Linked DNA regions of Lonchura striata. The protein of the gene in region 1 purifies or fractionates together with the protein of each later gene. This does not show direct contact. Links are inferred from orthologs where the notes say so. Each region holds a gene or a part of one and is shown in the gene's direction. Other genes may lie near its edges.

Evidence for each region. The genes of interacting proteins can lie anywhere in the genome.
Region 2: the proteins of POLR3D (region 1) and POLR2F purify together in Homo sapiens (affinity purification with mass spectrometry; 5 studies listed by BioGRID and IntAct, with this or other methods). This does not show direct contact. The link is inferred for Lonchura striata from reciprocal best matches to the Homo sapiens genes POLR3D and POLR2F.
Region 3: the proteins of POLR3D (region 1) and POLR3B purify together in Homo sapiens (affinity purification with mass spectrometry; 8 studies listed by BioGRID and IntAct, counting the BioPlex papers as one, with this or other methods). This does not show direct contact. The link is inferred for Lonchura striata from reciprocal best matches to the Homo sapiens genes POLR3D and POLR3B.

Annotation. Positions count from the first base shown.
Region 1 is NC_134634.1:3,550,331-3,557,719, reverse strand, and holds the start of POLR3D (DNA-directed RNA polymerase III subunit RPC4), read left to right. Parts: upstream 1-4,387; 5' UTR 4,388-4,397; intron 4,398-6,833; 5' UTR 6,834-6,834; coding exon 6,835-6,993; intron 6,994-7,112; coding exon 7,113-7,156; intron 7,157-7,389. Other genes in the region: PHYHIP (phytanoyl-CoA hydroxylase-interacting protein), read right to left, coding at 290-464, 2,123-2,287. UniProt on the Homo sapiens protein: DNA-dependent RNA polymerase catalyzes the transcription of DNA into RNA using the four ribonucleoside triphosphates as substrates.
Region 2 is NC_134607.1:23,577,834-23,585,607, forward strand, and holds the start of POLR2F (DNA-directed RNA polymerases I, II, and III subunit RPABC2), read left to right. Parts: upstream 1-4,770; 5' UTR 4,771-4,865; coding exon 4,866-4,885; intron 4,886-4,992; coding exon 4,993-5,062; intron 5,063-5,183; coding exon 5,184-5,314; intron 5,315-6,804; coding exon 6,805-6,876; intron 6,877-7,774. Other genes in the region: C5H22orf23 (UPF0193 protein EVG1), read right to left, coding at 1,769-1,873, 2,166-2,266, 3,269-3,403, 3,876-4,052, 4,417-4,479, 4,636-4,726. UniProt on the Homo sapiens protein: DNA-dependent RNA polymerase catalyzes the transcription of DNA into RNA using the four ribonucleoside triphosphates as substrates.
Region 3 is NC_134607.1:20,708,842-20,716,329, forward strand, and holds the start of POLR3B (DNA-directed RNA polymerase III subunit RPC2), read left to right. Parts: upstream 1-4,484; 5' UTR 4,485-4,521; coding exon 4,522-4,587; intron 4,588-5,084; exon of another isoform or gene 5,085-5,111; intron 5,112-5,993; coding exon 5,994-6,026; intron 6,027-6,548; coding exon 6,549-6,605; intron 6,606-6,686; coding exon 6,687-6,751; intron 6,752-7,108; coding exon 7,109-7,184; intron 7,185-7,488. Other genes in the region: TCP11L2 (T-complex protein 11-like protein 2), read left to right, coding at 492-736. UniProt on the Homo sapiens protein: Catalytic core component of RNA polymerase III (Pol III), a DNA-dependent RNA polymerase which synthesizes small non-coding RNAs using the four ribonucleoside triphosphates as substrates.

The DNA of each region.
Region 1 (7,389 bases):
TCCCAGCTCTGGGCTTTTCCCCTGTCCTCCTCATCCTCCCGGCTCCCAGCATCACCTCCATCCTCCTCCCAGCTCCCGGGACCGTCCCCATCCCCCGGCCCAGTTCCCGACTCCAGGAGCATCAATCCCGTCCTCCCTCCCGGCTTCCAGCATCGCCCCCATCCTCCTCCTGGGATCGCCCCCATTCTCCTCCTGGGATCGCCCCCATCCTCCTCCTGGGATCGCCCCCATCCTCCCTCCGGGCTCCCGGGGACGCCCCCAGAGTCGCTCCCGGCTCGGTCCCGCTCACCCCCGGTGCAGAACTCCACGGTCTCGCTCCAGCCGGACACCAGGTACTCGCCGTCGCTCTGCTTGACCGCCGTCTGCACGGCCACGCTGTACTCGGTGCGGGGGCTCAGGAACCAGTGGCCCCGCACCGTCATGGGCAGCGGCACCGCCTTGGCCACCAGCTTGGTGGGGACATCCTGTTCCGAGCGGCGACGGTCAGGCGGGACAGCAGCCCACCGCCCGCACCGCCACCCCGCTCCGCGGGGACGCTGCCGGGTACCGCACCCCCAAAACATCCACAGAGACCCCCCAAAAATATCTACGGAGACCCCCCAAAATATCCACGGATATCCCCCTAAATATCCACGGAGTCCCTCCCAAAATATCCACGGAGTCCCCCCAAATATCCACGGATATCTCCCCAAAAAATCCATGGATACCCCCCCCAAAATATCGACGGATTCCCCCCCAGATATCCACGGAGACCGCCCCAAAATATCCACGGAGACCCCCTCAAAATATCCATGGATATCCCCCCAAAATATCCACGGAGACCCTCCCAAAATATCCACGGAGTCACTCCAAAATATCCACGGAGACCCCCCAAAAACACCGTGGTGAGCTCCCTTCTGCGATGGGGACACGGGGTCCCCGAGCTGGGGGTGGTCTCGGGGTGCAGGTGGGGGTGGTCTCGGGGTGCAGGTGGGGGTGGTCTCGGGGTGCGGGTGGGGGTGGTCTCGGGGTGCGGGTGGGGGTGGTCTCGGGGTGCAGGTGGGGGTGGTCTCGGGGTGCGGGTGGGGGTGGTCTCGGGGTGTCCCCACTCCCTGCTGCAATGGGGACACAGGGTCCCCGAGGTGGGGGTGGTCTCGGGGAGGGGGTGGGGGTGGTCTCGGGGAGGGGGTGGGGGTGGTCTTGGGGTGCCCCTGATCCCGGTGGCGATGGGGACACGGGGTCCCCGAGGTGGGGGTGGTCTCGGGGAGGGGGTGGGGGTGGTCTTGGGGTGCCCCCGCTCCCTGCCGTGATGGGGACAGGGGGTCCCCGAGGTGGGGGTGGTCTCGGGGTGCCCCTGATCCCGGTGGCGATGGGGACAGGGGGTCCCCGAGGTGGGGGTGGTCTCGGGGAGCGGGTGGGGGTGGTCTCGGGGTGCCCCCGCTCCCTGCCGTGATGGGGACAGGGGGTCCCCGAGGTGGGGGTGGTCTCGGGGAGGGGGTGGGGGTGGTCTTGGGGTGCCCCCGCTCCCGGTGGCGATGGGGACACGGGGTCCCCGAGGTGGGGGTGGTCTCGGGGAGGGGGTGGGGGTGGTCTCGGGGTGCCCCCGCTCCCTGCCGTGATGGGGACAGGGGGTCCCCGAGGTGGGGGTGGTCTCGGGGAGCGGGTGGGGGTGGTCTCGGGGTGCCCCCGCTCCCGGTGGCATCTCGCGGTGTCAATAGGCCACGGAGCAGCTCCGCAGTGCAGAGCCGTTTCTGTGGCAACGGCGGATGCTGAAGTCGGGAGATAGAGGGGAAAAAAATATCCCACCCCCCCACCCCCCCACCCCTTATTATTGGGGAGGAGAGGAAAAAAAAAAAAAACAATGTTAAACATTAAATAGCATCACCGTGGCAACGGCGCTGCTAAAAACGGCCCGAATTAGTGACTCGCAGCACGGGGAGGGGGAGCAGGAGCGGCTCCGCTCCTCCGCGGGGGCTCCGCGCGGTCCGTCACCCCCCGATCCCCATCCCAGCCTCCTCCGCCGGCGTGTCCCGTGAGGGGAATGACCCAAATTCGGCACTAGAGAGGGCTGAGAGCCAGTTCCTCCCTCCCAACCGCGTCTCCTCTCCCCGGGCAGGGGGTCCCGCGTCCTCGCCCGGCTCACCCGGTGCTTGAACTTGTTGGAATTCTTGTTCTCCTTCTTGTTGAGGTCGATGAAGTAGTGGGTGACCCTCTCCAGGTCCCCCTTCTCCATAGCCCAGGAGATGCGGAAGGAATCGCAGGTGATGTTGTTGATCTCGATGTTTTTGGGGGTGGACAGCAGCTCCATGGCCGGAGGGGCTGAGCTCCTGCGGGCACAGCGCGGGGGTCTGGCGGGTGCCGAGCCCCCTCTCGCTGCCCACGCCGCCTCTGCCAAGGCCGCCCGCGGCGGAGCAGATGGCAGCGGGCTGGAAAAGCGGCCGGGAGCCAGGAATAGGCAGCGCAGGCAGGAGCAGGCGGCGGGACGCCGGCAACAAGCCCGGTCGGGTGCGGGGGCCCCGGCCGCTCCCCCGGGTGCCGCGGGGCCCCGGCGCGACGCCAGCGGGCGTTTCGGGGTTTGCTCAACACCGGGTGGGGAAAGAAAAACAAGGGGAGAGCCGAGGGAGTTGCTGCGAGAGGGGAGGGTTGGACGCAGGCACTGGAAAAGCTGGATCCGCCTTTGCCCCGGCCCGTGCCTCAGTTTCCCTGCACCCACCAGGAAGGCGCTTTTTGGGGGCGGGGGAGGTGGGGGGGGTGGGCGATGCTCGTGGAGGGGGGACACGGAGTCACATTCGCGGCACGGGGACGGGAGGCTGGAAGCGAAGCGTGACCCGACCCCCCCAAATCTTCAGCCCGGGTTTGTGCGGGGGCAGCGGTGGCACCGCGGGGCTGCCAAGGTGCCACCACCCCCCCACCCACCCCCTCCGTGTGCCCACGGCCACCCACGCCGGGCTCAGCCGTGCGTGTCCCCGTCACTCGGCACCCACGGCCACCCACGGCCACGTGTCCCCCCCATCTGCGCAGCCCCCTGCACCCCAAAACCGCTGTCACCCCCCCACGCCAAAGCCCTTGGGCACGGCAGAAGGTCACCGCTCTGGGGACACGGTGCCACCTCGCTGCCCCGCTCCCGTGGCCGGCGGTGGCGCAGGAATTCTGCACCGGGATCGTGCCAGCTGGACCGTGTCACCGTGTCCCCGGTGCCTCGTGTCCCCTGCCAGCCCTCAGCGCCCCCCGTGTCCCCCCCTGCCCTCCGAGCATCCCTCGGCGGTGCCAGCGGGATGTCGCCCCGCTGCCAGCGGGGTTCGGCGGCCGCTCCGGTGGCAGCGGTGCCGGTGAGGGCCTTACCTGGCCGTGGCGGGGGGCTGCCGGGAGGAGCGGGGGTGCCGGTGGAGCGGCAGGGCAGGACAGAGAGCCCCGGCGGGGCTGATCCAAGCGGGAAGGACGGAGGATGCCGGAGGGATCGAGGTGGTACCCGGCGGTGCCGCGTCGCTGCCTGCGGCTGATGCGACTGGGATCCTCCCAGCCAGCTCGGAAATAGCAAACACCCTCCAGAGGAGGGAGAGGAGAGGGAAAAAAAAAAATTAAATAAAAAAATGGGGGAAAAATAGATATCCAAGGAGCTGGGAGAGAAGGGGGAGGAAGGAAAAACCTCCCGGTTCTGCCAATGGCATGGAGGGATGCGTGCGGCGTCAGGTGATGGAGGCAGAGTGGGATGTGGGTGCAGATTGGGGGTGGGTGGTGGGCAGGTTCTGCCTGTTCCCCCCCCCCATTTTTGGGGTCGGGGGGGGAGGGGTTGTCCCGGTTGTGCCGCTTGCGGGACAATGGGGACACCCCCTCCCGGCCCCAAAAATGGGATGGATGAGGAGCGTGGGAATGCTGGTACCCACACAGGACCCCCGCGAGAATGGGGTGCAGAGCCCACGGGGGGCGGACGGACGGACAGACTTTTTGTTTTGCACGTAGTAAACACCCTTCTTGCAGGGGAAAAGCTTTTTTTCGGGTGGGAGGGTGGGAGAACACCCCAAAATCCTCATTGCCCCCCAAATTTCTGCGAGGGGGTGCTCACGCATGAACCCCCTCTGTGGGGGTGCCGGCTGTGGGGCTGCAGAGGACCCTGAGGGGGTGGTCGCACTGCAGGAATCCCGTGAGGGTGTTAAATGAAAGGCTGAGTGACCCCCCAAAAATGTCCCCCCACAGCGCTGCCCCCGCTGCCCATTTGGAGAGCAGGGCGCTGCCCGTCACAAAGATGGCGCCGCCGCCTTCACACCGGCTCGGGCATTGCCAACCACAAAGATGGCAGCTCGTTGCCAAACCCGCCGTGCCCTCAGCAAAGATGGCGGCGGCAGCGTCGCCTCAGGAAGAGCGCGGCGTGAGTGACGCATGCGCAGTGGGGGCGGCGAGCCCGTGGCTGCCCGGGCAGGGTGAGGGGCGGCGTGGCGGGGCCGGGGGAGGATTTTGGGGGGTCCCGGGGGTCCTGAGGGGTGCGAGGAGGGGCAGCGAGCACGGAGGGGTCCCCCTGGGGGGCGGGGGGAGGGTGGGTCCGCTTTGGGGGTGCGCGAGGGGGTGGGAATGGCGGGGAGAGGGGGACGCGGAGGGGGCAGGGGGCGCAGGGGGGTGAGGCCCGTGAGGGGCGGGGGGCGCTGCCAGGGGGTTTTGGGGTTTTGGGGGGCCGGGGGTGGCTCATGGGGGTCCGAACCCCCGGGGAGGGGCGTGAGGGGGTGCTGGGGGGAACGGGGGGGCTGGGAGCCCCGGGGAGGGGGGAACAGGGGTCCTGTTTGGGGTGTATAGGGGACAAGGGGTCCTGTTTGGGGTGTAAGGGGTGCAAAGGGTCCTGTTTGGGTCCTGTTTGGGGTGTGTGGGGGATAAGGGGTTCTGTTCGGGGTGTAAGGGGTGCAAGGGGTCCTGTTTGGGGTCTATAGGGGACAGGGGGTCCTGTTTGGGTCCTGTTTGGGGTGTGATGGGGACAAGGGGTCCTGTTTGGGGTGTGTGGGGGATAAGGGGTCCTGTTCGGTGTGTAAGGGGTGCAAGGGGTCCTGTTTGGGGTCTATAGGGGACAGGGGCTCCTGTTTGGGTCCTGTTTGGGGTGTGATGGGGACAAGGGGTCCTGTTTGGGGTCTATAGGGGACAGGGGCTCCTGTTTGGGTCCTGTTTGGGGTGTGAGGGGGACAAGGGGTCCTGTTTGGGTCCTTTTTGGGGTGTATGGGGGACAAGGGGTCCTGTTTGGGTCCTGTTTGGGGTGTGTGGGGTGCAAGGGGGTCCTGTTTGGGTCCTGTTTGGGGTGTGTGGGGGACAAGGGGTCCTGTTTGGGGTTTATGGGGGGCTGAGACCCCCAGGGAGGGGGACAAGGGGTCCTGTTTGTGGTGTATGGGGTGCAAGGGGTCCTGTTTGGGGTGTGTGGGGGACAAGAGGTCCTTTTTGGGGTATATGGGCGGCTGAGACCCCTGGGGAGGGGACAAGGGGTCCTGTTTGGGGTGTAAGAGGTGCAAGGGGTCCTGTTTGGGGTGTGGGGGGGGATAAGGGGTCCTGTTTGGGTCCTGTTTGGGGTGTATGGGGGATAAGGGGTGTGTGTGTGGTGTGTGGGGTGCTGAGACCCCTGGGGAGGGGGCTACACGTGGACCCTATTTGGGGGTGCAGGGGGGTCATTTGTGGGGTTTGCATAGGACTGAGCCCATTTCGGGGTTCATTATTGGGATTTGAGCAGAACTGAGCCCACTTTGGGGTTGGTTATTGGGATTTGTGTAGAACTGAGCCCTGTTTGGGGTCTGTTACTGGGGTTTATGTAGAACTGAGCCCACTTTGGGGTTGGTTATTGGGATTTGTGTAGAACTGAGCCCTGTTTGGGGTCTGTTACTGGGGTTTATGTAGAATTGAGCCCAGTTTGGGGTTCATTATTGAGGTTTGTATAGAACTGAGCCCAGTTTGGGGTTGGTTATTGGGGTTTGAGCAGAACTGAGCCCAATTTAGGATCCATTATTGGGGTTTGTGCAGAACGGAGCCCAGTTTGGGGTTCATTATTGGGATTTGAGCAGAACTGAGCCATATTTGGGGTTCATTATTGGGTTTTATGTAGGGCTGAGCCCAGTTTGGGTTCCGTTCCTGGAATCTGAGCAGAACCAAGCCCAGTTTGGGGTTCATTATTGAGATTTGTGTAGAACTGAGCCCAGTTTGAGGTCCATTATTGGGGTTTATGTGGGACTGAGCCCAGTTTGGGTTCCGTTCCTGGGATTTGAGCAGAACCGAGCCCAGTTTGGGGTCTGTCACAAACCGAGCCCAGTTTGGGGTCTGTTACAAACCGAGCCCATTTTGGGGTTCATTACTGGGATTTGAGCAGAACTGAGCCCACTTTGGGGTTGGTTATTGGGATTTGTGTAGAACTGAGCCCTGTTTGGGGTCTGTTACTGGGGTTTATGTAGGACTGAGCCCAATTTAGGATCCATTATTGGCATTTGGGTAGAACTGAGCCCAGTTTGGGGTCTGTTACTGGGATTTGAGCCAAACCGAGCCCATTTTGGGGTTGGTTATTGGGATTTGTGTAGAACTGAGCCCTGTTTGGGGTCTGTCACAAACCGAGCCCATTTCGGGGTCTGTTAAAAACCGAGCCCACTTTGGGGTCTGTCACAAACCAAGCCCATTTTGGGGTCTGTCACAAACCGAGCCCATTTCGGGGTCTGTCACAAACCGAGCCCACTTTGGGGTCTGTCACAAACCAAGCCCAGTTTGGGGTCTGTCACAAACCGAGCCCATTTCGGGGTCTGTCACAAACCGAGCCCATTTCGGGGTTCATTCCTGGGATTTGAGCAGAACCGAGCCCATTTCGGGGTGCAGCCCCCAGCCCTGAACCCTCGCCCTGCCCGCAGGATGGCCGAGGGTGGCTCTGGCAGCTCGGGCTCGCCGGGCAGCGCCCGCCCGGGGCTCCGGGGGGTGCTGGGCCGGCGCCCCAGCGCCGCCCCCCAACTCGGCCCCGGCCGCCTGCCCTCCATCCGCTCCCGCGACCTCACCCTGGGCGGCGTCAAAAAGGTGAGACCCCCCTTTTCCCCCCAAAATTGGGGTCACTCCCCATCCCCAGCCAGGGTTTGGGGTGGTGACAAAGCCCAGGGTGGATTTTGGGGTGATTTTTTTTTCCTCTCTGCCCACAGAAAACCTTTGCCCCCAACATCATCAGCAGGAAGATCAAGGAGGAGTGAGTGGACATCAGGGGGGTTAAAAAAGGGGGGATGGGGATGGTTTTGGGGGGCTGGAGCGTTTTTGGTGGGGGGGAGGTTGTGGGGAGTGGAACTGGTTGGGTTGGAGAAGGGAGGAGTGGAAGGGGATCCATGGAAATATCCCAAATATCCATGGAAATGGCTGAGATATCCCAAAAGTTCGTATAAATATATCAGAATTTCATATAAATATCCTGAATATCCATAGAAA
Region 2 (7,774 bases), on another chromosome or scaffold:
TTGTGTCCCTGCTCACCTGTGCCACCCTTGAGCGGCAGGGGAGAGAGGCACGGTCACAACTGACCTTTACCCAGCTTCATCTGTGTATACTTTAGAAGTGTGCAGATGTGGCTGGATTGTTTTTTACACCTCCTTTACTAAATGAATTCAAACCTATCCTAAAACTTTAAACCCCTTATTTTATTTGTCATGTGTGTGTGTGTGTGTACATCAGAGGAGGGAATGTGTTCTTCCAACCATCCCTTCTTCCTTCCATTTTCTGTCTCCTGCCTTCTCTTCCAAGATGATGAGTTATTTATTGAGTCATTGTATCAGTCTGAATTAGAGTTTCATGGGTGTTTGGTTGGTCAGTTGTTCATCATGCCTTCTCATTAGCAAATTAGACATAACCAGCCCTGAGCCATCTGCTGCAGTCTCTTCTAAAAACCCAACTGGCTTTAGCCAAAATACTCTCGGAGCAGTGCCTTGCAAGGTGGCTGGTGTAGCATTCTGGAGAGGGATCCTCATTTCCCAAAACCAGAGGGACCCGAGCCCCTCCTCAATCCCAGCATGGCCCCCATGGCTGGGAGCTGGCCAGCTCAGCCCTGTGCTGGTAATGCCATCCTTGCTATACCAAGCAGGCTGATGAGGAACAGTGGTAGGAGAGGGGAGATCCCAAAATACAACTCTTCTCCAAGGACAAACAAATCTGCTTTAGAGCCTACTGTCACATCACTGTTGCCAAAGGCCATTGGGATTGCTGTAGCCTGACACCCCTTGGCCCTGTGCCCAGTCAGAAATTTGGTTTGTAAATTATACTGTACTAACCCCATGACTTCCATTCACCTGAACAGAAATAAAAGAAACATTGGATTTAAAAAATGATTGTGGATTAGGTTTCTCATTCTTTTGTGCACTCGTGCTGTCCCAGGGCCAGGGCATGCTGCCTGGCTTTGGAAAGTGGCTGAGTATTGCTAAGAAGCAGAGGATGAGATCTTAAGGAAATTGGAAACTGGACGTTATGCTGGGATTTCCACAGGAAAAGTGGGACATAATGCTTCAGCCTGCTGGAGGACAGAGGTGTGAGTATTTGTGGTTGAGCAAACAGCCATTTCCAGTCTCTATGGGAATAGAGTGGCTATTCTGCATACCATGCTTTCAGGAACTAAAAAATCGCAGCAAGTCCACAGCAAAGAGCAGCAGCCACTGGGGTGAAATTCCCTGTCCCTGCTTGGCACAGCTGTGTTCCTGAGTTCCTGCCCAGTGGGCTGCCACCAGAGGTTTGCTGATGCCGCAGGTCACAGTCACAGTGACCTGCAGCAATGCCAAGGGCTTGTGAGTACACAAGGCTGTACAGCTGCACTTCCTCCAGAGACATTCCTGGCATCACAGGGCCAGGAGCAAGCCAGTTACAGGTATGGTGTCAGTGTGTGTTACCATCACGCTGTCACGAGAAAACTCCACTTCTGGGGAGATGGGAAGGAATGACATTTCTATGGATGGATTGCTGAGGCACTGCAGAGGAAAAAGAAGGCTCTGCTTTGTCATGTTTTGGGAGCTGTTGCTGTGTGTTTTCATGTCTTTAATATTATGGAGCAAGAAGGGATCCAGTGTGTGGGAAGGATTTTACAACTTCTGTCACTGTGTATGTACAAATTGGTCCTGCCTTCTAGTTTCTGGCAACAGATTGTGCTGCCCCCTCTTTGGAAACAGACACAGACTAGCCTCTGATTCCCAGAGTCTGGGAAGAATAGGTGGGAACAAATTGCACCTGTGTTTTGCCCTTGGCCTAGTCTTGGAGATTGGATTTGTTCCCAACAGGGAAGGCTTTTGTCATGATATTTCTCATTTCCTCACTTCTCTTCTTGTCAATGCTCTTCATCTCATTCAATTTCTGCAAAGTAGAAAGGGGGAGAGCTGAGTAGGGAGAAAGCCAGCAGCTTTTTTTTTCTTCTCTTGCCAATCTCAAGAATAAAAACTGTTTCCCTGATTAAGTTACATGCACAGATGGAAAGAAAGCTGGAAAACCGCTATCCACCATTCCCCAGATTCATGCCCGAGCTGTGCCATGAAGGGAAGCAGCTCTTTGCCCCCTTCCCTGCTCAGATATCAGAGAAGACTCTGCTTTATGATCTCTGACACATGGGATTCCCTTCATGCACTGTTCAGCCAAGGCCCTCACATACCTGTGAGATTTCAGTGAGGATGATCCCTTGATACTTCTTGCCCTGTCCTAGAGCTTCCATCTCTTCCAGGAATTCCCTCCTCTCTTGAATTTCATTCTTCACTGGTGGATAGAGAGAAAGAACTGTGGAAACAGAATGCAGCCAAAAAGCAAGAAAACACATTTCTGTCTAGATCTGAACCCCCAATTTCCTAAAGTTCTGCTTGAACAGCAGCCCCATCAAGGCAGGGTGATATCTGCTGTAACACTCACCTTGCCCAACATGTCATCACAATACCTCAGCAGTCCCTTACATAATGGATATGTCCCCTCTGCCCAACTTCTTACCACTCCCTGACTCCCAGGAACAGCAGTTTTCTAATTTTCTTTATGTAGACAATTCTCTTTTGCTTGTGGGCAATTTAACCAGTCAGTGGATGGAGACAGAACCTGTGACAGAACTTGTGACAAGTGTTGGAGACTACCAAGCATGTGTAAAATCAGCTGCACTAGCTCCCTGCAGCAGGGAGTATCCCTTTTGTATACACTGCTCTAGCAATGCCCATCTTTGTGCTGCCCTGGCTGGCAAAGGACTGCCAGGGCTGTACACACACTTTCAAGCACAGATTCAAGCACAGAAAGGTATTAGGCAGTGTTTTGCTATCCCAGTATACACTGCAGGCCAGAGTCTTTCACTGCCTCAAATTCTGCTTGATATTCAAGCTTTGCTAGTATAACTGCTGTGATCCTGGAGTGGAATGGCCCAAACTGTGGTCAGGCTATCAAGTGACCTGGTCTATGTTGCGTCATACTTGCTGGGAAAAGGACCAACAGTACCTGAGCTTGTTTCCCATGTATCCCTACACATCCCTAGGCTATTCCCCTGCCAGCAGGGTGCATTTTGTGTGGGCAGCCCATCTGCCAGCAAACCTCATCAGTATAAGCTCTGTGGGGATGGCTGGATCAGAGTGTCACAGCAGCGAGTCCTTTCTCTTGGGAACTGGCCTTTGTGGCTCCTCCTGTAACATGCTTCAGGTTACTGGCAACACAGCCTGCCAGCCCAGCCCTAGGAGGGAGCTGGCTTCCCAGGCTTCCTGCCTCTCTCCTGGGGACATGACAACGTACATTCTTCAAACCGGTCAGCCTCAGCTATCTCCTCTTCCTTTTTCTGAATGAACACCTGCTCCACCTTCTCCTCCACGTCATCCTTCCCTGATGCTAAAATGTTCTGAAGTCTTCTCTTCTCCTTTTCCAAGTCTCCTAAGAATGCCAAAGGAAAAAAGCATTATTATCAGCACGTCTCCTCATGGAGGAGCCTGACCACACTGCTTCCCTGCTAACTGTGCCAGAGGAAGTGTTTCATTAATGTCAGTCCATCCCTGGACTGTGTGCAAGCACCACATGGGTGTACAGCGCCCACCAAACCAACATCAGAGGTGTGGTTCACCTTTATGTGCTAAAAAATCACGTAGTGCCCCATCCTTACTCAGGGACTGTGCAGGTCGCTATCGCCTGTCACCCCCCAGCTGGCAGGCAGAAGTCAGCGAGCACTTACAGGAGATGTTCCCTCAGAGATCCATTTCTGAAACATCTTTGCAGACTGAGAGCATGAGGATGTGATACAGCAATTCAGATGCACTGCCACTGCTGAGATTGAGGCAGGGGAGGGACAGAAGGAGAAGAGAGGCTCTAGGCATCACCATGTATTTATTAGCAGTGATCGCTGACTTACGTGTGGGCTGTGGCTTGAATTTCTCCCGGGTGTAGGCATCCCCTGCCTGGCAGACCCCGGCAGGTCGGAGAAGCGGTCTTGCTGGAAGCCTGTGTGGCTGACAGGCTGCTGGGGAGGAAACAGTTACTGGCTGTTTGCTGGATGGGGAGAATCTCTGAAGGGGCAGGGCATCTCCGCCTGGGGGACGAACCAAAAATAACAGCAAATCAGACAGGAGGGACTCTGAATGGATGGCTCTGGGCCATTACCAGCAGATCTACCTGTTGATCTATAGCAGCATCACAAACGAAGACCCCAGTGCCCCAGATGTCTCACCCTGGTCACTGGGCACGACAGACTGCGGTTCAAGTCACACCGTTACGCCTTGTTTCCTGGGCGACCCGTGGGGACAGCTCTCCCGCTTGTCCCCATGTGCCAGCAGCCGCTGTGCTGCTGGTTTAAAGCACTTGCCCATCCGAGCAGGCTCTGGGCGAATGCCGAGATGCAAAAGCTCCACACCACAGCACAGCAACTGGCAGGAGAGCCAGGGCGCCTCACTCACGTTTCACATAGGCCATCAGGTATCGCTTCTGGGAATGCGTCATCTGCAACTCCTCCATCATCCCTGAAAAACACAACGCGTCGATGAAGAGGCAGCAGAGCCGGGCTGGAGAACCCGCCCTAGGGTCACCTCCTCTCACAACCCCAATCCGAAAGGGAAGATGCGGGTTTAGGAGACTCCAGCCGGGGCGGCAACACCGGCGACGGGCTCCGCCGTTACCTTTCACTAACTCCCGGGTGCCTGTGCTGTAGCGGGCCGGCCTGCCCGCCGCCGAGAGCCCGCCGCGGCCCGGGCACCCTGCGGCCTCCATCGCCACGGGCGGCGCCCGCGCGGCACGGGGCAGCGGCGGCGGTCGCCAGGGCAACGGCCCGCGATGACTTCCGGCAGCGTCACGGCGGCGGCCGGAAGCTGCTCCCGGGAGCGCCGGTCCGGAGCGCCCGGCGGGAAACATGTCCGACAACGAGGACAAGTGCGAGCGGGGCGGCGGGCGCAGGGAGGGAGGGAGGGAGGGAGGGAGGGAGGGAACGGGGTGGCGGCGGCCCGGCCACAAGTGCGACGCGTGTGTCTCTCCCGCAGCTTTGACGGGGATGACTTCGACGATGTGGAGGAGGACGAGGGCCTGGAGGACCTGGAGAACGCGGAGGAGGTGGGTGCCGCTCGCAGGGCCGCGCGGCTGCTGTGGCTGGGGTGGCCTCAGCGGCTCCCCCCACACCTCAGGGCCTCGGTGGCGGGTGCGGCTGAGCAGCGGCGCGGTCTGTTTCTCCCAGGAGGGACAGGAGAACGTGGAGATTCTGCCCTCGGGAGAACGGCAGCAGGCGAACCAGAAGCGGATCACGACCCCCTACATGACCAAGTACGAGCGAGCCAGAGTCCTGGGCACTCGTGCCCTGCAGATAGCGTGAGTATTGCCTGCTGTGTCCCCAGCACTGCTGCAGCTGTGCCTCCTTTTACACTGATTAGAGCTTTCCTCTTCCCTTAAAAATTCCCAGGTCTTCTGAATCCTTTGCATGACTGCCGAGCTTGCATGTCACCCTCTGGTCAAACTGAAGCTTACTCTTTATTGCACCTGAAGTCTGTGTGTCTCTCCTTGCCTGAAACTGTACTACGCGTGCACAAAGAGGGAGCATTCAGTAGCCACAATGAGTTTTCCTAGATCACGGGCAAAATTACTAGGGAATGGGACAAGACAGTTCTGGTTTCTGTCTTTCTTCAGAGAGTCAGCATGGACTTGAGAGTTCGTGACTGGTTTGTGAAAGGTAATGTTTGAGATAGAGATGCTTCAAAATAACTTCAGTTGATACCTCAGGGCTGTAGGAATTGGGAGTGAAGAAACCAACCTGAAATTTGTTCCAAATGCAGTTGCATTGTGGGTAGCTGTAAGGTTATTGAAGTATTTGCAATAAAAAGGCCTTATTTATAATAGACAATAACATTTAAAATTTACTTTAAGTGCTGTCAAGGCTGGCTGCTCTTAATTCATTTGACTTTTTAGATTTGTTTTAATAATAAATATTTAAAATGGTGTGCTTTTTGGGAAACTACCTTCTGAGAGAGAATGTTAGACATTGGCAAGGGTTTGAGTTTCATCTTGTTTATATCCACCTTCACAATGAGGCTTCTCTTGTGCATCATTTAGAAGCTCACAGGCAGGCAAGCTGTTCTTTGCACAGCCTGTGAAGCTGTGTTATGCATGTTCTTTCAGTTGGTGAGAGGCAAGAAGAATGGGGGGAGATAAAGGCTGTGCCAGGCCTTTAATCCACTCTGGCACTTGGTTCTGCTTCACCAGCAACTTCTACTTTCAGAACCCAGACAAGCAGCAGCTCCCATGGCCTCACCCACACATAACATGAGCTTTCTCTGCCACCACTGTCCAGGTCATGGGTGTAGTCACAATCCTTTGCAAAATGCTGAGTTTTTTCTTCCAAGAGGTAAAATGCCTTGTAAATCCAGCCCTTCTCTTCTCCTGATCGAAGCCTGGGAGCTGTGAGCAGGTCAGAATGTAAACGATGTGTTGGAGCTGTAGAAGGTCTGCTCATTTTACAGCAATTGCAACCTTTTAATTGGATTAATTTTAGAACCATTCTTTTCTACATGTTTAAGTATACAGCAGAGGGCGACTAGGAGAGTGTGGATTTGACCAGTCACTGAGCTTGAGCTGGTTGGCAGACCCCTAGGGATGGGAGAAGAAGAGCACTGAAGTAAAAGTTTGGTCTGTAACCATCTGGGGGAATTTTCTCCTTCAAGGGCACAACAGAGCAAATCAGTTTTGCCAGGATAGTGTCCCACCCCCCTACTTCATTGGCTGTTGTAGAGGTGACACAGGTAAGCAGGTGTTTAACTCTTCGTTCTCTGTGTTTTTGCTCAAGTGGCTGTTGATGTTTTTCTTAGGATGTGTGCCCCTGTGATGGTGGAGCTGGAAGGAGAGACAGACCCCTTGCTCATTGCCATGAAAGAACTCAAGTAAGTCACAGATTTTGTACTGATTTCTGTAAAGCCAGCAGTCCTCTCCTCATCCCAACATGTAGCAGTTTGTTCTAAGACAGCGTTATTTTCCATCAATAACAGTGAGCAAGTACTATAGTTGCCTTTTCCTTTCTTCATCTTGTAGTTTCTCCACAGCTGCTCTCTCCCAGACTACTTGCTCCTGCAAACTGATGATTACGAGTGCTCTGGACCTCTTCTACTTCATGTTCCCAGTATTATTTATTTCTGTGATGGAATCCCAAGGTCCTCATCTTTTGGGAAGTGATTTAATTTCCCAAATGGAATTGTTTTGAAGCAGCCAGCTGAACAGAACTGTGTTCAAATGAAGTGCTAGCAAAAATTAAAATAAGAGTTAGGCTGATGAGAATGTTTATTTCCTGCACCCTTCCGTGCTTGGCTTCTTGTCCTTTCCCCCTGCTTACAGAAAGGTGAATAAATCCTTTCTGACTGCAGCAGAGGCAGCTTTTGGATGACCACTTGCAGGCCCACTTTTCCACAGCAGAACTCCCTGCTGTCCCACAGTTTTCCTGCACAGTCCAGGTCACATGCAAGCAGCTGGACACTGTTACTGATTAGGTCCCTGTCCTTAAACAAAATTATCCCCCTGCTTCCCCAGTTTCTCAGTGCACGGAAACTGCTCTTGCAGATTTTTTTATCTATGACAACTCCCTTTGGGTCATATTCCTGTCAGATCTCTGGGCTCAGACTGAGTTGCTTCTGGTCACTGCCTGTGTGCAAGTTCTGAAAAGTAAGTCAGTGTGGTGTGTCCTGTTCTGTGCCAAAATTCAGTTGTAATTCTTGGCATCGGGGAGTTACTTTACTACTGGAAAAACAACCTCCCTGAATGTAAAGAAGTTGTGTTACTTTTCAAGTC
Region 3 (7,488 bases), on another chromosome or scaffold:
CTTAATCAGCTGTCTAATTATTTTCTAAAACTATTTTCCTACTGCAGTAGAACACTGGCTCAACTAAGAGTAAGGTTGTGGTGTTTACTTAGAGATGGTGTTCTTGGTATGCTGCAGAGTGTGGTTAGTCACATCAAGAAATAATTGTATAAGTGCATGTAGAGACACGCCTTGGCAGCCTAGTATTTTGGAGAAGAATTTAGATAAAATGAGTATTGTTTAGTCTTCTTTCTATCCATTCTGGGTTTAAACCTTCTGAGTTTTTTTCCTTCCTTTGAGTCTACTTCATATTAATTAATGTAACTTGTTGCAGTAGGTTTATGCTGTGTCCACCTTGCAGTAGCTAAACTTAAGCTTACAGTATTGTTTCCCACCCCAAAACAATCTTGGGAAAGAGTTGTTCATTACATTGTTGGATTTTTTGCTGTGCTGATGTGCAGGGTACTTACAAAGTGACATTTGTTCTGAGCATACTTTATATTCCATTTCAGACAAACGAATCCAGCTCTTCATGAGAAGCTTGCTTGCTCTTCCAAGTTTTCAGAAGTGTATGCCTACTATGCCAGGAGGCCTTTCTGTGATTCAGACAGAGATAGAGTTTCTGGGATCTCAGTATGCAAGCATTGTAAACTTCAATAAAAAAGTGTATGGACCATTCTATGCAAACATACTTAGAAAACTGCTTTTTCCTGAGGCAGCAATGGAGAAGACAGAAGCCAAAACATCTAGCAATTAAAAAATGTACCCTTTTTTTAATCTTCCAAGACAGTGGGGAGGTCACAGATCTCTAAGAACAGCCTACTCCAGTGACTGTTGATGGGGAAAGGTCTTGTAAAATGTATACAGATAGTTTCTGAAATTCACTGTAAAGAAATTAATGTCAAGGTCATATATATATTTTAATAGAAAATTGTTTGTTTAATGGATTGTCACTTGTAATAGCCAGTGAATTATTAATTTCCATAGCAAGCATTTATTATGACTTGCAGTAGGAAAGATCTGGCAATGTACTTGATTTTTTGCCACCATCAAAACAATGTTATTTTTCAACTCAAATATATTTACATATAGCAATGCATATTAGGAAATTACAAAACAACTGTAGATAAAATGTACTATGCTTACATTGTATTTTTGTAGAGTAACATCTCGGACATCAATTATGTTTCTGAGAATACTTTGAAGAAGACAGTATAGCATAACTGCTTTAGTAACCAATCCTAGGTTCATACTAGGCAAAGTTGAGGTCCTCCTGCAATTACTGGACCCAGAATTTTGCCTCTGTTACATTAAGGAAAGCCAGTGTTACAAGCTGTTTGCAGGATTGCAGTTACAGAAGCAGCATTCACCACTTCAAGTAGGAATAATTCAGAACTTCTCAACTCTAATTGGTATTAATGATAAACACCTGAGAAACATGATGGTGGGGGGGTGGAGTAAATTTCTGTATATAAAGTGTTTATAAGCATCTTGTTTATTCAGTGGAGGTCATACAGATCTTTAATATGTGTATGTATTGATCATTGATCTTAATAGATGGGTGTTCAGTATTTTTAAGTTAGGTCTTCCTAACCTTTATCCCCAAAAGCACTTAACCCTGACCTTACAGTGTACCACAGAAGAGCTGCCCCTTTCATGCCCTTATCCAATAGAATGTAAATTTTTCACAAGATACTCTTAGGCCTGAAAGCAAGAAGTTGAGTAATGAGTCATTTTTGAAAATATTATTAGATTCACTTTTTTATGGAGTGTGTGAGAAATGCTCCTGTTTCCCTCCAATTCCTTTGGACTGGGCCCCAATACTTAGTGCCCACTTAAGGCATTGGGAATCTTGCATACAGAAAACGAATAGAATTGAAATGGAGAAAGGTGGAAGGGAACTTCTTTAAGTTTACACAGACTTTATCTTGCATCTTTCAGATTACTGGGATTATCAGATAGTGCTGGAATTCATATTATAGACATGTTCTTGTCTATGAAATTGAATAATTTACTTGAAAATGATATTTTACTATATTACCATATAATACTCATTTTAAGATGTCATATATAGAAAACCTCAGTGTGGTACAAGTTAGAGCTTGTTTTTAATGTTTTATATTACAATCTATTTTTATGAAGAGACAAAAATAACCTGTAAAAGTGTAATGTGTCACACAAATTGTTTATGTACATTACAGTGTCTATTATAAAGGTCTAAAAAATCCTGGGCATTATTAGCACTGTGGTTTTGTAGTCCATTTCTAGCAAAGGAAATTACTTCTATTCAGTTCTTCAGTGTCCAAGGACTTTGGTCACAAGTAAATGTTAAGGAAAACTTTCTTCAAAATGCCTTTTTAGAGAAAGTTCTCTAGTGCACTTCTGTTCTACCCCTTGTGAAAATATTGCACAAAATAAACATGAATACATATTTTAAAGGGAACTGTTTCCTGGAAAACCTAGAAAAAAGGAACTCTTAGACTATCATAACTGTGCCACTAGGTAAGCCAGGCTTGCTCAGATAAATATGAAATTTTGGTAGGCAATTCAAAATAATTAAGAGAAGAATGCATTTCAAAAGCAGGAAGAGGGAATGAATCTTAGTGATTTGCTACAATATTAGAAGTTACCTACATGATTTTGAACTTCAGCCAAAGGAGGATTTTATGAACATTTGAAGGTGTTAATATGATTATGAACTTTTAATTATAGTGTTTTATATCCATTCTATTGTACAAATAAACACAAAGTTTAGCTCTTTAATGAGCTGGGAAAACTGTCATAATAGTTTTTACCAGTAAATACTCAAAACATAGCATTTTTTGGAGGGGTTTGGTGATTAAAGTGACTTGCAAAGGGCATTTTATAGCATGGCCTGTGTTTCAAGTGATTGTTTAATGTGTTTTAATTTAATGTTTCCAACAGGGACATTGCATCTGTTTAATGTCACGTGTTGCATGCTGTTTATGCTACTGTGGCTGAAATGCACTTGCCTCTACTCAGAAGTTGTCCTTGTGAAACAAGATGCCATTCTGTAGCAGCTTTATTAAAAAATAAGTTTTGAGGATTTGTATGCATTAAATTTTGTTTGTGATACTAGCAGTGGTGAAAAGTCATTTATACGAACATTATTAAATGCAACAAATTGTTGAATGCCAAAGATAAATGACTTCACTATTCTGTTGTGACTGTTTTTCTGTTACTTCTCAGAAGCAGCTCCTTTGGCAGAGCACTGAGTTTAACCCAGCTGTACAAATAATATTGAAGACAGTTGTCTGCTTAAATCTGACAACTTGGATGAAGGAAGTATTGGGTTTGCATGGCAGAGTTGGAGGAGCAGTGGACTGCAGGGCTGGCTTCTCTGAGAACTTCTCCAAGCTTCTCCCTGTGCCCGACAGAGGCTTTCCATGGATTAACCATGGATTGCCACGTATGAAACAAATTCTCCACTGACTGTTCCTTTAGGCAGGAGACCAAATGGAAGGAGTCTGAAATGTTACTCCTCTTCAGGGTAGGGGCCTTAGTGTCCAGGATGGGTGGAGCTCAGACCCAACCCTGTCAGTGTTACTCATGAGGAACCCGAGCCACAGCAGATAGATGTCTGTATGCACTGATTTCACACTCTGCTTTTAGATCTTGCCAATTATTATATTTATATATATATATGTAGCTCAAAACCTTACTGCCACAGGAATGTGCAGAGATCACTAGTGCTTCTTGTTTCATCTTGAACTGGGGCAGATGAGTAGCCCCCCATTTGACTGCGATTTTGGTGTCTCTAAGCACCGAGCCTTGTACAAGAGAACGAGCAGGTTTGTAGGTGATTCAGCTACAGCAGTCAATAATAACAACAACGCTAAAAGCTGTTTCCCCGCGTTGCTTTACATGCGAAAAAATACAGGAAAGCCATTTAAAGCCCGACTGCTCCATGTCCCCGCCGCCTTCCGGCGGGGATTCAGGGCAGACCTCGGGGCGCTGCCAGCTCTGCAGTGGCCCAGCGGGGCGGGCCGCGGGGCACCGTGAGGGGCGGGCCGCGGGCAGAGGGAGGAGCGGCTGCCGGGCACCGTGAGGGGCGGGCCGCGGGCAGAGGGAGCAGCGGCTGCCGGGCACCGTGAGGGGCGGGCCGCGGGCAGAGGGAGGAGCGGCTGCCGGGCACCGTGAGGGGCGGGCCGCGGGCAGAGGGAGCAGCGGCTGCCGGGCACCGTGAGGGGCGGGCCGCGGGCAGAGGGAGGAGCGGCTGCCGGGGGCTGTGAGGGGCGGGCCGCGGGCAGAGGGAGCAGCGGCTGCCGGGCACTGTGAGGGGCGGGCCGCGGGCAGAGGGAGGAGCGGCTGCCGGGGGCTGAGGGGCGGGCCGCGGGCAGAGGGAGGAGCGGCTGCCGGGCACTGTGAGGGGCGGGCCGCGGGCAGAGGGAGCAGCGGCTGCCGGGGGCTGGGCGCGCTCAGCGCTCGGAGGTGCCCGGGCAGCGCGGGGCCGGAACCTTCGGGGCGGCGCCGGCGCGCGGGGGACGCGCTGCGCCGCAGCGCCGCGGCGCGCGGGTGGCCATGGAGGCGCTGGGGCTCGGTGCGCTCACCCCGGAGCAGGCGGCGGCCCCGGTCAACACAGTGGAGGTCAGCGGGGCAAGCGGCCGGGCTCGCCTCGGGCTCTCCCGGAGCGTGGCCGGGCTGAGCCGAGCCGGGCTGGGGGGGAAGGAGTCTTGTGGCGGCGCACACGTGGAGCGGCCGCTGCCCGTGCTGCGCCGCTGGGTGTGTGTGGGTGTTTGGTGGGGGTTTGCTTGGTCCGAGCTGTCCCTGGGCAGCCCCTCGTGAAGCCGGGCCCCGTCTGCCCGGGCTGTGTCCCGCGGGGTGGCAGGGACCTCACAGCTCGTGTCCTTCCATCCCCCTGCCATGGCACGGACACCTTCCGCTGCACCCTTCTCCTTCCAGCCTGGCCTTGAAATATTTACTTAAAATTAAAACCATTAGTCTCATCCTTAGGTCATCAGTTTAATTGCATTACTGTTTAACAGATTCAACCCCTTTTTTTTAGACATAGCATTTAAATTATAAAAAATCAAGCACTCTTCATCTTTCCAGACTGTAAACGCTACTGCATATCAGCCACAAGGGACCAGTGGTATAAGCCACACCATTCTGTACGTCTCTTTTTACTGCATTAGCTTTGCCACTATTAGATGTTAAATTGGGATCACAAGCAAGATTAGTAGATTAACAAACAGTAGCAGTGAAGGCTGAAAGCCAAGAGCACCATCAACATTTCTGTGGGTAGAAGAAAGCTAACAACTTTCTACAGGTGTTTTTGGTTTAATTAATTTTGTAGTATTTTAAAATGGTAGTATATGGAGAAGCATATGAGGACTGGGAACACTCCTCCTAAATAAATGATTTTGTCTCTAGCCAAAGATATATGCAAGTTTTTGCACTGCCGTGGTGGGGAAAACATGGGGCTGACATAGAGATGTTCCCTATGCTCATTAATGATTAGAGATGGGAGAAAGTTTGTAGGAACTTCGATACACTTAGCACTTGTCAGTACTTTTGCTAAATCTCTGTAGGATTTAGGGTCCTGGTAAGTGTTACAGCTGCTCCCAGGACTGAGGTTCTTGCATGTATTTTGTAAAGCAAATGTTGTAGGAAATCTTCCCTTTTTACAAATATAATTTACAGTGTTAACAGAACAAAACCAGAAAAACATTAGTTGGTCTTAAATGAGGACATGGTGTTAAGGAGTTTTCTCAGAAAACTATATTTTCACAGAAGTTACTCTCAGGAAAGGCCGTGTGCAATTGCATCCCAAATACTGCTTGTATGGTTTACTGAGATGATCCAGGTAATTTTTATCCACCTCTGTTGGCTTTAGACAGTTGTTTCTTGGTTTTTTCCTAAATGGATCTGATTTTAAACAATGTTACCGTTCAAAAAACAACAATAGGAATAAAACATGTAGACAGAGGCTCAGGCATGTTAGATATTTGGCTAGTCCTTGGAAAGATGTCTCAAACTGTTTTTGTTTTCAGGAAAAATGGAGACTTCTTCCAGCATTTCTGAAGGTTAGTGCTACACACTCATTTCATGGTGTGACTATTTCATCTCCTTTCTAACTTCACATTCCTTTCTTCTGGCTCTTACTATTTCCCAGAATACCTGTCCTCACTTTTCTGTGGATTTTGCCTTTTGTTTTAGTTCCTTGCAGTTATCAGTAGACTTCTTCCATAGATTGTTTTCTTGATTAATTTAAAGATTATTTTGTGGAGATATCCTCCTAGAGGTTTGCATTTTGGTGTGGTTATTCTCAGTCCATAGTGTATATATGTAATGTTTCCAGATTATTTTTCCTGTTTTACTGGCTCTCAGAGATGCTATCCATGCTCTTTATATGACAGTTCCAGTGTAAACCTGAAAATGTAGTGGAGAACCAGAGTGAGCATCCAGCCACTTCCCAGAAGTTTGTCAGCTGAAAGAATTTAGCACAGTTATCCAAACCCAGTTATAAAGGCTTATATCTTAATTTCTGCCTTATGTGATTAATGTTACTGAAGCTGATTTTATTTGCTGCGTGCATTATTTTTCAGGTGAAAGGACTGGTGAAGCAGCACATAGACTCATTCAACTATTTCATCAATGTTGAGGTAGGCTTTCCTGGGTGGGGGAGAGTGGCTCTTAGTACTCAGAAAAGGCCATGGTTCCATTTTGTTCTTTTTCTCCTCCAGATAAAGAAAATCATGAAGGCAAATGAAAAAGTGACAAGTGATGCCGACCCAATGTGGTATCTGAAGTAAGCATGAGATGATTTCCATATCAGTAGCAGCATGAGTACTGTCTCAGGGGTTTGTTTATAAGCACTTCTGTAGGTATAAATCAAGAAGGTGTTTTTCATGACTTATCTCCTACTTTATGCAATGAAATATGGGAAGATTTAAAGGTTTACTGCACATGCAGGCTAAATTTGAACTAATTTGACCACAACTCAAATACAGTGAGTTACTTTAGGAAGAATCATTGGTCATTATTGTCAAATTGTCAAACTGTGTTCATCAAAATAATTTAATTTTTCAGTATATGTAAAATTTTGCTTCCTTCAGATTCTTTGAAAAATATTTGCCTCATTGCTCATTTTGAAACTGTATTACAGGTACCTCAATATCTATGTGGGTACTCCAGATGTGGAAGAAAGCTTCAATGTGACACGACCTGTATCACCTCATGAGGTATTAATATTTGCATCTGTCTTGTTGAGTTTTTTTGTCTTGGAAAATAGCTGCATGTAATTTTGAGTACATGTGTGTTACATTTGGTAGTGCATTGCATTCCACCATCACTGTAAAAGCAAGCTTCAGAGACTGAAACATCATTACATAAATATTTTTAATTTTATTCTAAATTGTTGAGGGTTTTTTTTTCCTGTATTCAGTATTTTGTGTTAGGTGAATTTGAGTGGGTTTCTATGAAAGTAGTGAAAAGTATACTTCTCTTGCTTCATCTTGTGGCTCTCCTCATGACAGAGCTGAAGTC